Linked DNA regions of Oryzias latipes. The protein of the gene in region 2 purifies or fractionates together with the protein of the main gene of each other region. This does not show direct contact. Links are inferred from orthologs where the notes say so. Each region holds a gene or a part of one and is shown on either strand. Other genes may lie near its edges. The genes, in order: ski, smad1 and runx2.

The links.
Region 1: the proteins of smad1 (region 2) and ski purify together in Homo sapiens (affinity purification with western blotting, with the first as the bait; 3 studies listed by BioGRID). This does not show direct contact. The link is inferred for Oryzias latipes from reciprocal best matches to the Homo sapiens genes SMAD1 and SKI.
Region 3: the proteins of smad1 (region 2) and runx2 purify together in Homo sapiens (affinity purification with western blotting; 3 studies listed by BioGRID). This does not show direct contact. The link is inferred for Oryzias latipes from reciprocal best matches to the Homo sapiens genes SMAD1 and RUNX2.

Annotation. Positions count from the first base shown.
Region 1 is NC_019865.2:32,981,604-32,985,355, forward strand, and holds the start of ski (ski oncogene), read left to right. Parts: upstream 1-1,317; 5' UTR 1,318-1,756; coding exon 1,757-2,665; intron 2,666-3,752. UniProt on the Homo sapiens protein: May play a role in terminal differentiation of skeletal muscle cells but not in the determination of cells to the myogenic lineage. Functions as a repressor of TGF-beta signaling.
Region 2 is NC_019859.2:18,368,669-18,372,320, reverse strand, and holds part of smad1 (mothers against decapentaplegic homolog 1), read right to left. Parts: intron 2,341-3,652; coding exon 2,107-2,340; intron 1,293-2,106; coding exon 1,036-1,292; intron 1-1,035. UniProt on the Homo sapiens protein: Transcriptional modulator that plays a role in various cellular processes, including embryonic development, cell differentiation, and tissue homeostasis.
Region 3 is NC_019882.2:3,172,637-3,176,288, forward strand, and holds part of runx2 (runt-related transcription factor 2), read left to right. Parts: intron 1-968; coding exon 969-1,133; intron 1,134-3,652. UniProt on the Homo sapiens protein: Transcription factor involved in osteoblastic differentiation and skeletal morphogenesis. Essential for the maturation of osteoblasts and both intramembranous and endochondral ossification.

The DNA.
Region 1 (3,752 bases), on a different chromosome or scaffold from region 2:
CAAATCATTGAAGAAAAAAGGTTCAGAGCACTGTCTAGTGGGTCTAGATGACCCAACTCCCTAGCCCAAGTGGCTAGGATAGCACAAGGGATACACTGACCAATCAGATGCCTCAGTAAAAGTATGCAGTGCCCGCTGGCCCCCACCTTGAACATTTGATTGACAAATAGATCTGACAGGCTTTTAGTGGAAGGGTTTGGACTTCAGACAAGCCTACTCCTGATTGGTGACAGCAGTTGCCCTAGAAACATGACAGACCGACTCGGACCAACCACTGTCGTCTGGCTCCAAAAGGCGACGCCTGTTTCACAGAAGAATGCTGACTGAATTGGCTTCATTCTGCTGGAGCCAGAGGAGAGGGTGATGTCCCACTGCTTAGTCCAGTTTTATATCCAGTCCATGAGTGAAGCTCAGAGCCCCCCCCCCCCCCCCTTTCCCTGCATGTGTGTACTTGAATTTGTTACCTTAAGAGGACCTGACCTTACAGAGCCGAAGTTCAAAGTGTTGAAGTCTCGCGGGTTACATTTGAAGGATGAGGGTGAACTGTGTATGAACGGGGGGGGGGGGGGGGGGGGGGGGGCTTCTTGTGTCTGTGTGTGATTGGGTTGCAGCTTAGCTTTGCTTGCTTGCTCCAACTGCTGCTCAGTTTTTACACTAGTCCTGGTTCTCAAAGGTGAGGAGTTCTTGAGGAGTTAGACCTGATCTAAGCGTTTCTTTAGTCAGCTTTAGAACCATTTGATGACCAAGGTGACAGGAACCTCCGGCTTCCTAGACCAGCTTTACTCCACTCCACTCTACTGGTTTGTAGAGTGGTCCAGTGGTCCAGTGTTCACCGCTCAGCGAAGTATCAAACATCAGTGGTTCTTCTCTGGTCCAGGGGGGAGTGGGTGTCCAAATAATCCATTTTCAAGACCAAGAGTCTGAGTTTAGGGGTAAAAAGCCAAAGAACTGATGTAGGGTCCCTGGAACCTGAACATGGGTTTGAGGGTGTGGAGGATGGAAACAACGGCCCCCTGGGGGGCCACGGAGCGGTCCCCACCGCGGTGACTAAGGGCGGGGCAAGCCGTCAGCTCGTGAAGTTTAAATCAGAATAAGGAAATGGACAGAAGTCAACGGGACGTCCTGCGAGCTTCACTGTGAAAGTCCTCACGAGGATATCTGCGCACGCTTCTGTGTGTGCTCCTGCGCGTGCGCGCCTCTTGGGGGAGGGGGGGGGCGTTCGTGCCTGCGGAGTCAGTCGCATTCCTGGCCGGGATTCAATGACTGAGCCAGACACAAACACGGAGGGGGCGGGGGCGCGGGGGCGCGCACGGCGCAGGGAGGGCGCGCGCGCAGCCTGCTCTCAGACCTCACCCCCCGCACTGTCAGACTGAACTGCGGGGGCACACGCAACGGATCGGCGCAGTCCTCGACAGCAGAGGAACCTAAGACGGGATTTGTCCCCCCTCCCTTCAGGTGCGCTCGCGGAAGCAGGCGCGCGGAACTCGGCGGCTCTCCGGAGTTTGCTCTCCGGCCTCAGAGGCGCACAGGCGGCGCGCAGCCCGACGGACGGACGGAGCGGCCGGTCCGGCTGCGCTCTGAGTCCCGGACTTTCCTCTCCTCAGAGCGGGTGTTTGATGACGCGCCTGGTGGGTTCGAGTCACTGCGGGACGCCGTGGATTTTCCAGCTTCAGGAACGGATCCGTTTTCGGGACTCCCGGTCAGCAGCAGCAGCAGCAGCAGCAGCTCCGCGGATCAGTAAAGTTGCAGGGAAAGCATGGAGGCTGTAAGTCGGCAGAGCTTCCAGCCTCATCCGGGACTGCAGCAAACTCTGAAGCAGTTCCACCTCAGCTCCATGATCTCTCTGGGGGGCCCGGCGGCGTTTTCCGCCCGGTGGCAGCATGAGCTCCTCTTCAAGAAGGACGGGAAGGAGCCCGAGCCGGCGCTGCAGCATCTGCCGCCGCCCGTCATGCCGGGCCCGCTCTTCATTCCGTCCGACCGCTCCACGGAGAGGTGCGAGACGGTGCTGGAGGGCGAGACCATCTCGTGCTTCGTGGTGGGCGGCGAGAAGCGCCTGTGCCTGCCGCAGATCCTCAACACGGTGCTGCGGGACTTCAGCCTGCAGCAGATCAACTCCGTGTGCGACGAGCTGCACATCTACTGCTCCCGCTGCACGGCGGACCAGCTGGAGATCCTCAAAGTCATGGGGATCCTGCCGTTCTCCGCGCCGTCCTGCGGCCTCATCACCAAGACGGACGCCGAGCGGCTCTGCAACGCCCTGATCTACGGAGGAGCCTTCCCGCCGCGCGCCAAGAAGGAGCTGGGGGGCGCGGGGGCGCTGGAGCTGCAGCTCACCGACAGGAGCTTCAAAGTCTACCACGAGTGTTTCGGCAAGTGCAAGGGCTTGCTGGTGCCGGAGCTGTACGGCAGCCCGAGCGCGGCGTGCATCCAGTGCTTGGACTGCAGACTCATGTACCCGACGCACAAGTTCGTGGTGCACAGCCACAAGGCGCAGGAGAACAGGACTTGCCACTGGGGCTTCGACTCCGCGAACTGGAGGGCGTACATCCTCCTGAGTCAGGATTACACGGGCAAAGAGGAGAAGGCGCGCCTGGAGCAGATCCTGGACGAGATCAAGGAGAAGTTCGACTTTGCAAACAAGTACAAACGGAAAGCTGCGTCCAGGGTGAGCCGCGCGCGTCTCAACGTCTCCGTTCTACAGAAAACATGACAAAAGTTGTCGTGACAGACCTGCCTCCCCCCTTAGTCAGTGTTTGCTCATCTATCAGGTGGTTAGTAATGCTGCCCCCCTCCCTGGTGGCAATAAAACACTTATTTGCCTCTTGGATTGCCTTAAAACAGCCTTTATTGGTCAGAACAGTAGATGGAAGCTCGTCTGCCAACAAATGGCTCTCGGGAAAGTGTAAACACTAGAGAGTGGGGGTTGTCTTGGGGGTGGGGGGCGATGACGAGGGACATTTCTGCAGGTGTAACTTAGTGTTGGTCAGGGGGGGGGGGCAGCTCTGGACTGATGAGTCTGTGAGGTGGTGAGTTAGCTTAGAGTTGTGGCCGATGTAGGACCCCCCCCCACACACACACACACAACACCCCCATGGGGGAGAAAAAGCCAGCGTGGCCATTTGCATGAACTGTTCCACATCAATGGAGCTGATGAGGCAGGCTTTGGGAGCATTGTGGAGGAAACATAATATGATCCCAACAAAGAGGAGCATTCAGTAAACATGGGGACCCCCCCCCCCCCCCCCCACACACACACACACACTCCAGCTCTGCTTTTTCTTCTCATCTGATTTAAAGCTCGGGGGACATGTGGGGGAGGCAGACCCTCTGCAGCTGAGTGCTGGAGTCCTATCATGCGCAGAGAAAAGTCCTGCAGAGGGGGGGTCCTCCTCTTGGTCAGGAGGTGTGCAGGGGTCTCACTCCTTTTTCTTTAGTTCCACTCAAATCATCTTTTGAATTTTTTTCAGTGGTCTTTCAATTATAATGAGGCAGTTTTTTAGCCCAAATCAAAAATCCTGTGTGGTTTTCTGGGTCGCGGCTGTAGCTGCCTCCGCTGAGACCCCAAAGACGGATCTGCAGGTGGATGCATCAGAATGGAGCAGAGCAGGGGCTCTTTCATCTCAGTAGCTGGAGAGGCGGCTCTGCGTCACGGTGACAGAAGTGAGAGCAGAAGTCTCGCATGCAGACAGACAAAGGAAGTCATATTGTCACACTTCCCTCCTCGCAGACTTTTCTTTCAAAACTCTTAACTG
Region 2 (3,652 bases):
AGAATGTCTTGTAAATCAAACTATGTTTTCACATGAATTACAAATGTGCAGAACTTTTTTTAATATATAAGAAATATTTAAAAACAAATGTTTCCAGGATTACATAATTTACATAATCCTGCCTGTGTCCCAGCTCTCCCGGGACTACCTAAATCTACCTAAATCAAGTGTCTTCAGCCTATCAGGATGTGTGATCACCAGAGTCATCTAATAGTGTTTGATATCCCCCAGGCGGACGCAGTGCTGCACAGATCACCTGCTGTGCGGTGTATGCTGGTTAGTTTTATGCTTCGTCACATGTCAATCATCATAAAAGCATCTCGAGAAAAAAGGGCGGGTGCAATGCGCCTACCCAGTTCAGCGCAGTACTAAATTTGTATCTGCGAGGCACCTTATCACTACAAAACAGTGCATTGTGGGAAACCGTGTCCTGACAGTTCTAGTAGTTTAAAGTGATGCTGGAAACAGCTGGTGCTCAACGATGCAAATCTGTGTATTTTGTTTGTAACTTTTATTTCTGCAAATAGGGATTCACTGATGAAAAAATAAACATTTCTTTTTTTATACAAATGTTTTTTTATACAAATAGTAATTGAAATCAACATAACTCAGATTACTTTAATTGTTTTATGTTTTCTACTGATAATCAATTTGGTTTTAACATCAGACAGACATTTGCATTTATGCTACAAAAGGAACCTGTAAGTACAGGCAGCACCAACCATCTGTGGTTGTTGTTGCCAATAAAAGTTAACTTCAATTTCAATTTCAATTTAAAAGCATCCCTGCAATAAGCCAGAATTTGCCCGGCGGTTATTTGTTATCTGTTTTCTTTGTCTACCTTAAAAGCTAAAAATAACATTTATAAAGGAATCATAAGACGACAATTAAAATAACTGTTAATAAAAAATAGGCTACAGGCAAAGCATTAAAATAAATAGAAAAGATATAACAGCACAGATCATACTAAGGGGGGAGAGTGTTAAGGACAACCCCAACTTCCTGTTCTCGTTCAGTCTCGCCGAACCAACTCACCTTAACAAAGCTCATGCGGATGGTACACATCTTAGTGAGCTCGTAAACTGCCTCAAAGCCATGGTTGACAGACTGGGCCAGAAGCTCAGCAAACTCCTGGTTGTTGAATATCTTCAAGCTGCATCTGCTGGGAATCTTGCACACAGTTGTGGGGTGGAATCCATGTTGGTAGTTACAGTTACGACTCTGGACAAATATGCTGCTGTCACTTAGACATTCTGCATACACCTCTCCTCCAACGTAATACAGATGGACGCCTAAGAGGTGAAACAGAGAGACAAACGTTTAATCACCATAACTTCAATGTCAGAATCATCAGCCATGAACCTAAAACAGTCAGATGTTAAGGTGACATTTTTGTTTTTTTATCCTGGTGCAGACCCTCACTTAAAATATGAATGGGCTTAATGTACCTTGTACCTTTTTATTATTATATATCATTTTCTTCTCAGAAAATTGTCAGGTATGCGTTATCCCCTGCCCTTTCTGTTTTATAGTCCCGTGGGAGAGGAGCTGATACGGGATGCTAACACTGTGGTTTCTATTTTCTTTTGGGAAAATTGTCAGATCCGCAATTCATAGAGGTGGTCTCCATGGGTTCTGCTGTGTCCCAACATCTTTTTACTCCTTAAACAACGCAGAAGGGATCCAGTTACACATCTGGTTAATGTACTAATAATCAAATATTTGCTACTGAATATTTGCTATTTGGATGACTTTATTGGAAATAAAGTCCATGATGGACTTTATTTATCCATCATGAGATAAATAAAGTCTTATCTTATCTTATCTTATCTTATCTTAACCCTTTCCCACCTGAGCTTGACATTGTTTCAACTACCGTCACTTCTCAACTGTTTATGCAAATAAAGGTCAAAGAGCGAGTTATATTTAGGTGTCCGCAGTGATATTTCTGGTTTTAAAACGGTATGGTCTTTACTTTGCCCTGGTCTGAACCCCCCCCCCCCCCCCCCCCCCCCCTTTTTGTGATTCCATTTTACTGAGTTAAGGTTTGTGTGTTCATATCAGAAACAAAAGCTAAGCTCCATAGGAACCTGCTTACGGGATTACCTTTGCCAATGTGCCGTCGGGTGTTCTCGATGGTGGAGTTCCGGTTCACATTGGAGAGCAGGCCGAGGCAAAATCGATTGCGATTGTTGGAGGGATCTGTGAAGCCGTCGACGAGAACACTGGTGGAGGAAGCCTGGAACGCTTCACCTACTCGATTGTTGAGTTCGTAGTAAACAATGGAGCACCAGTACTTGGGTTCTTCATAAGCCACTGGCTGCACATCTGGAGAGGACACTGAGAACATTCCAACATAGTCAGTCAGTCCACATCAATTCTAACTCACTCCTACAACAGAATCTCATCAATCGTTTTTTTAAATATTAAAACATAATATCTTTAAGACTTGAAGCAGAAAAAATGAATAATTTCATCATAAAGGTTCGCAGTCATTCCGGATTTCCAGTTACTTTTGCCAGAGTTCTGAGCTGGCCCCATCCCATAATTGAAAGGAACAAATCATGTGTATTTAGGTACATATGTCTCCCAAAATCCCTCTTTAGCATGGCACTGACTGGCAGGTGTGTTTTGTCTTTTGCCTAACTGGAGCTGGTACACAATAGAAACCTGCTTCCGGTGCAGGATGCAGCTTGTGGAGCAGAAAAAGACGCACCAACTCCCACTTCCAGCAACAGATTTGTTTTGAGCAGCTGCGCCCGGTACCATTATCTGTAGAAGTGTCCAGAATCTCTGAGATTTGGTGTGCAAAATTGTAGACATTTGTAGAAGCAATAAAACAAAAAAAACAAAAAAAAAACATACATGGGTCTGATATTATTCAAGAGAGTTGGGAGGCTTTTTAAAATAAAACTGTATAAATGAGCCGTTTATGAGCTGGACCTTTATTGTTATATGAATGAGGGTACTGAGCACAGCCGCTTCACAAAAATAAGAACCTTGGTTCTGTGTGGACCGGAGTTCTGTTGTGTGGGATTCCTTTTGAAACAACTGGCTGCCAATCACAGTCCGTTCTGTTGACTATTGAGGTGTTCCCACCTATTGCGTAATAGATACACTTCTAGTTCATTGAACCTGAAGATGATGAAAGACAACTGAGCAACTTTAGAAAAAAGTAAACACAAAATTAAAAAAATCCAGAGTACCCAGACAAGGTGCTGTAAGTCTGATTAGGGATAGTCATGAATATTTAGATTGGAGTTTGGCAAAAGCATACAAAGTGTGTCTTTATTTTCTGTCCATCCATCTTTTTTTTTTGATTTAGCAATAGCTGAATGCTTCTTTTTCATATTAATGAAATCACATTTTTGCACGTAATATTTTTTCATAATACTGTCACTAATAATGGAATGAAGAGTTTAGGCGTCATAGTCAAAAAATATTAAAAGTATATGAACACATAGACTAACATCCTTAAGTTTTTGATCTTTAAAACAGGATTTTTCCTGCATAAATATTTTAGTGGAGGTCACTACCACTAATTAGATTAGCAACACAAGCTCAAGCTGTTTAACAGAATGTGATCTGGGCTGTGATATTATGTGCAACCGCAGTTGGACACTCCCACTTGTCAGGGTGGCAGCACGATACC
Region 3 (3,652 bases), on a different chromosome or scaffold from region 2:
CACTGGAAGTCGATAAAGCACGAACCACTTCTTCTTTTTGTCATTTAAATTGATGTAGTGCAACTTTAATTTTTTTAAGAACCCAGAGAAAATCTTACAATGCATCACTATCTCTGTTACAGAAATCTGTTTGAGAAAATGTGTGTTTTTATGTGTTGTAATCATAATTTCTCTTTGGGATTATCCGAAAACCAAACCAGAACTTAGTAAAACAACAGCTCAATTCCAGAAGCTAAAATTTTACGTTGGCTTTTTGAAATTGAAATTTTTTGTTTGGAAATTTTTGTTGCAAAGGCATGGACAAGAAGAATGGACACTCTGTACTCTGTTAGACTCTGATTGGGTGGGTCATTGTATTTTTGTGATGGACATTTTTCTGCATTTTGTCTTCCAGTGTCATATAAGCCCATGGGGGCTGGGCACATAGTGCGTGACACTTTAATAAAATCAAACTCAACTCAACTCCAGAAAAAGTTCTATTTATATCCTTTCAGGCTCCAAGGCTTGCTAGCTGCTGGTGTTTCCTGTGACGTAGATGGGCTTTACGCTGTTGTTTTTCCCTGAAACCGTTCGCTCAGGGGTGGACGCTTTCGCTCAGCGCGCTGCCACTGAAAGCATGTCGTTGTTGGCAGAAAGACAGAACTAGGCATAACACCGGGAGCTTCCAGCGCCGTGTAGAAAAAATAAGAGGTGCTGGGATTTGCTTGCTGTAACTTTATGGAGCTGCTGCTGTGGTGCGTTCATGGCCATCATGGACAAAGCAGAACTAGATTAGTTAAGAGTTACTAGATTTTGGAGAATAAAGATCCTTTTTTAATCAGTCATAGGTCGACACTGATTGTGCTGAAATCACCATTGCAGCCCGGTAAACAAATGAAGTACATCGGATACGTTTAGGTGTTTGATTTAATCTTGTTTTGTCCCGTCTTACCCGTTTAACGTCCCCTCCTCTCCTCCTGTTTGCGCAGGGCATCGTCAAAAGCTGGAGGACCCTCCAAAAACAGGCTTGTTTCCGGACCGACTTGAGCTGGAAAGGATGCGAGTGAGAGTCGCCGTTCCCACTCAACCCCCAAGGCCGTCCCTGAACACAGCCGCCAACTCCTTCAACCCCCAGGGTCAGACGCAGATCACAGGTGAGTCATCAAAGTCGGCCTTTACCTGCACAGACACCTCTGCAGATCCTTCCAAAGAGTTTTCTGATTGTCCGGGAAGTAAAACCACTTACTGGTATTAGGAGACCTTACAGTTGTTGTCTGGTTGTTTTTCCGTGCATATTTAAATTAAATAAAACCTGGGGGTTACACTCACCTGTCTTCCCCTCCACGTGGTTTGATCTTTGCAGCTCCAAGCTACCCAAAAGCCCCTTCACCCAAAACAGGAAAGAGCTTCAAGCTTCAAGTCACTTTTCTTAAACATGTCCTCCAAAAGTTAGACACCAAAATGATGCAGCTGCTCAAATAAGGGCTTTCCAGCAATTATCTAAAAAAGCACAAATAGCTAAATTGACCATAAAGTATCAAAATAACTATAAAAAGTTTCCAGATTTTCTTTATTTTAAATCTAATATGAACATTTCGTCTTTAAAGTTCTGTCCATAATAACTGATGTGTCGATATCTTAGTCAAAGTGATCTGCAATCAAGTTTGTCATTAAATGTGATGATGATAACTTGAGATATTCACATAATTACTGCAGAATGTGGTTAGGGCTCGTCATTAAAAAACAACCTGAAGAATTAACCCCATAAAGAACGACTATTAAAAGTATAGCATCTTATTAAATGGTCAGTAACTCACAAAAGCTGTGATAACAGCTGCTGTTTGACTGGGCTGCCTCTATTTCACCTATTGTTCACCTGTTTCATGGCCTTGGCGCAAACTTTTGCCAAATGTTCAGTTTTTGTGCTACAACCAACCCACAGGAATGTCCAACTTTCATTTCAGTCGTGTGACAAAGCTCTCCAGGCCGTCCAGGAGTTGTTTCTCGCACTTTCTAATAAACAAAAGCTCATTTAAGAACAATTCTAACGCCCCTCTGTTACTATTTTGAAAAAAAGACCTTTTTTTTAACTTATTAAGAACTTAAGCCAGAAACCGTGGATCACTTCAAATCTATGAAGTCTTTGGAAATGTTTTACAAATCCAGTTCCTGATAAGTGAGACAATAACAAACTTTAGCAGCGTGGCTTTACAGAGTCTTTATAACACAATGAATAAATGTTTTAAAAACATTTGAAACATGTTTGTGCTTACATGAACCAAAATGTCAGCAAAATTACTTCTCAATGTGTTTTAATGAAAAAAGAGAATCCAAAAGTGTTATCACTGTTAAGACTTTCTGTCTTTATGTTGCAGCTAAAACTGTTTTTGCAGCCCTATGTTTGTTGTAATTAATGCTTTTTAGTACAATGTTGCACAAAATGTATATTTACTCATATCAGATGATTTGTTGGACACATCTCCTGTTTGAAGCTGCAGAACTGCTGGGATCAAAACAAGGCAAGAGCATTCAAAGCTCAGGTCATCAGGGCTTACTTTATAGACCCACTCTACAGAAAATTGTGTTTTCAACATGTTCTTGTAGCATTTGTCTAATGTTGGAGGACATATAAAAAGAGAATTCTGCTTAAAATTGCATTTCTGATCATTTCCTTATTCAAATCGTTGTGAATCGGGAGCAGACGAAAAAATGCAGTTTGAAAAAGAGCATATTTGTGACATAGAAAGCACGCTAGGCGGGCCACAAGCTTGTAATAATACAGAGAGCTCTCAGCAACAGGGAGGGGAAGGGGGGCGGGGTTGCTGCTACAACTCAGAGGTGAATTTCTGATGAACTCCTGCTGTCCCTCTGCAGACACTATGTCCTAGAAAACATCACAGGATTTTTAAATTCAGGCCAAAATCAAAATTGAAAGACCTCTTGGGACTCGTTGAAAATAGATCAAACGATGACCCGAGTGTGACTTTAAAGTTTCACTGCTGTGTGAAAAAGCATTCAGAGGAAGCTGCCTCGGTGTGAATCTGCAGAACCACTCGCAGAATGACGTCATTCTAGCCGTAGGCGGCCTGTTTCAGGTTTTGCTTGTTTGTTGTTTGTGTCGGTGATATTAGATTTCAAAGTAAAAGCACTAAAGGACGGAAACAGGGCCGGCCCTGGCTTGCATGGAACCCTAGGCGAAAAGGAATCCTGGCCCCTCCTCCACCTAGCATAGGCGGCCAGCAGCGCCGAGCAAAGTTATTCAAAAATGTTTATTTATGATTTTTTATTATTTTTACATTAAATTAGTGGTGTGGGGGGAAACAAGACAAATATATATGATTAGGATTTGGCTCCCCCCTCCAGCAGATGGCGCCCTATGTCGCCTATGCCCCTGGACAGAAAAGACGCTTAATCTTCGCTTTAGCTAACTTTTGTGCTTCGTTTTGTTGCTTTCACTCCGACTCAATGACAAACTGTGAGAGGTTGCTGGTCTGTTTACTGACTGGGTGAGACCAACAAAGATCTTTGTATCTCAGCAACTCAGACGATGCTGAATAAGGCAAACAGGTAGATCTGTTTACAGTCAAACCCTCCATTTGTCCCTACAGATGTTTTAGTGATGATTTAGCACCAACATGTGGAGCCTCTGGATGAGTCGACCTGTGATGATTCT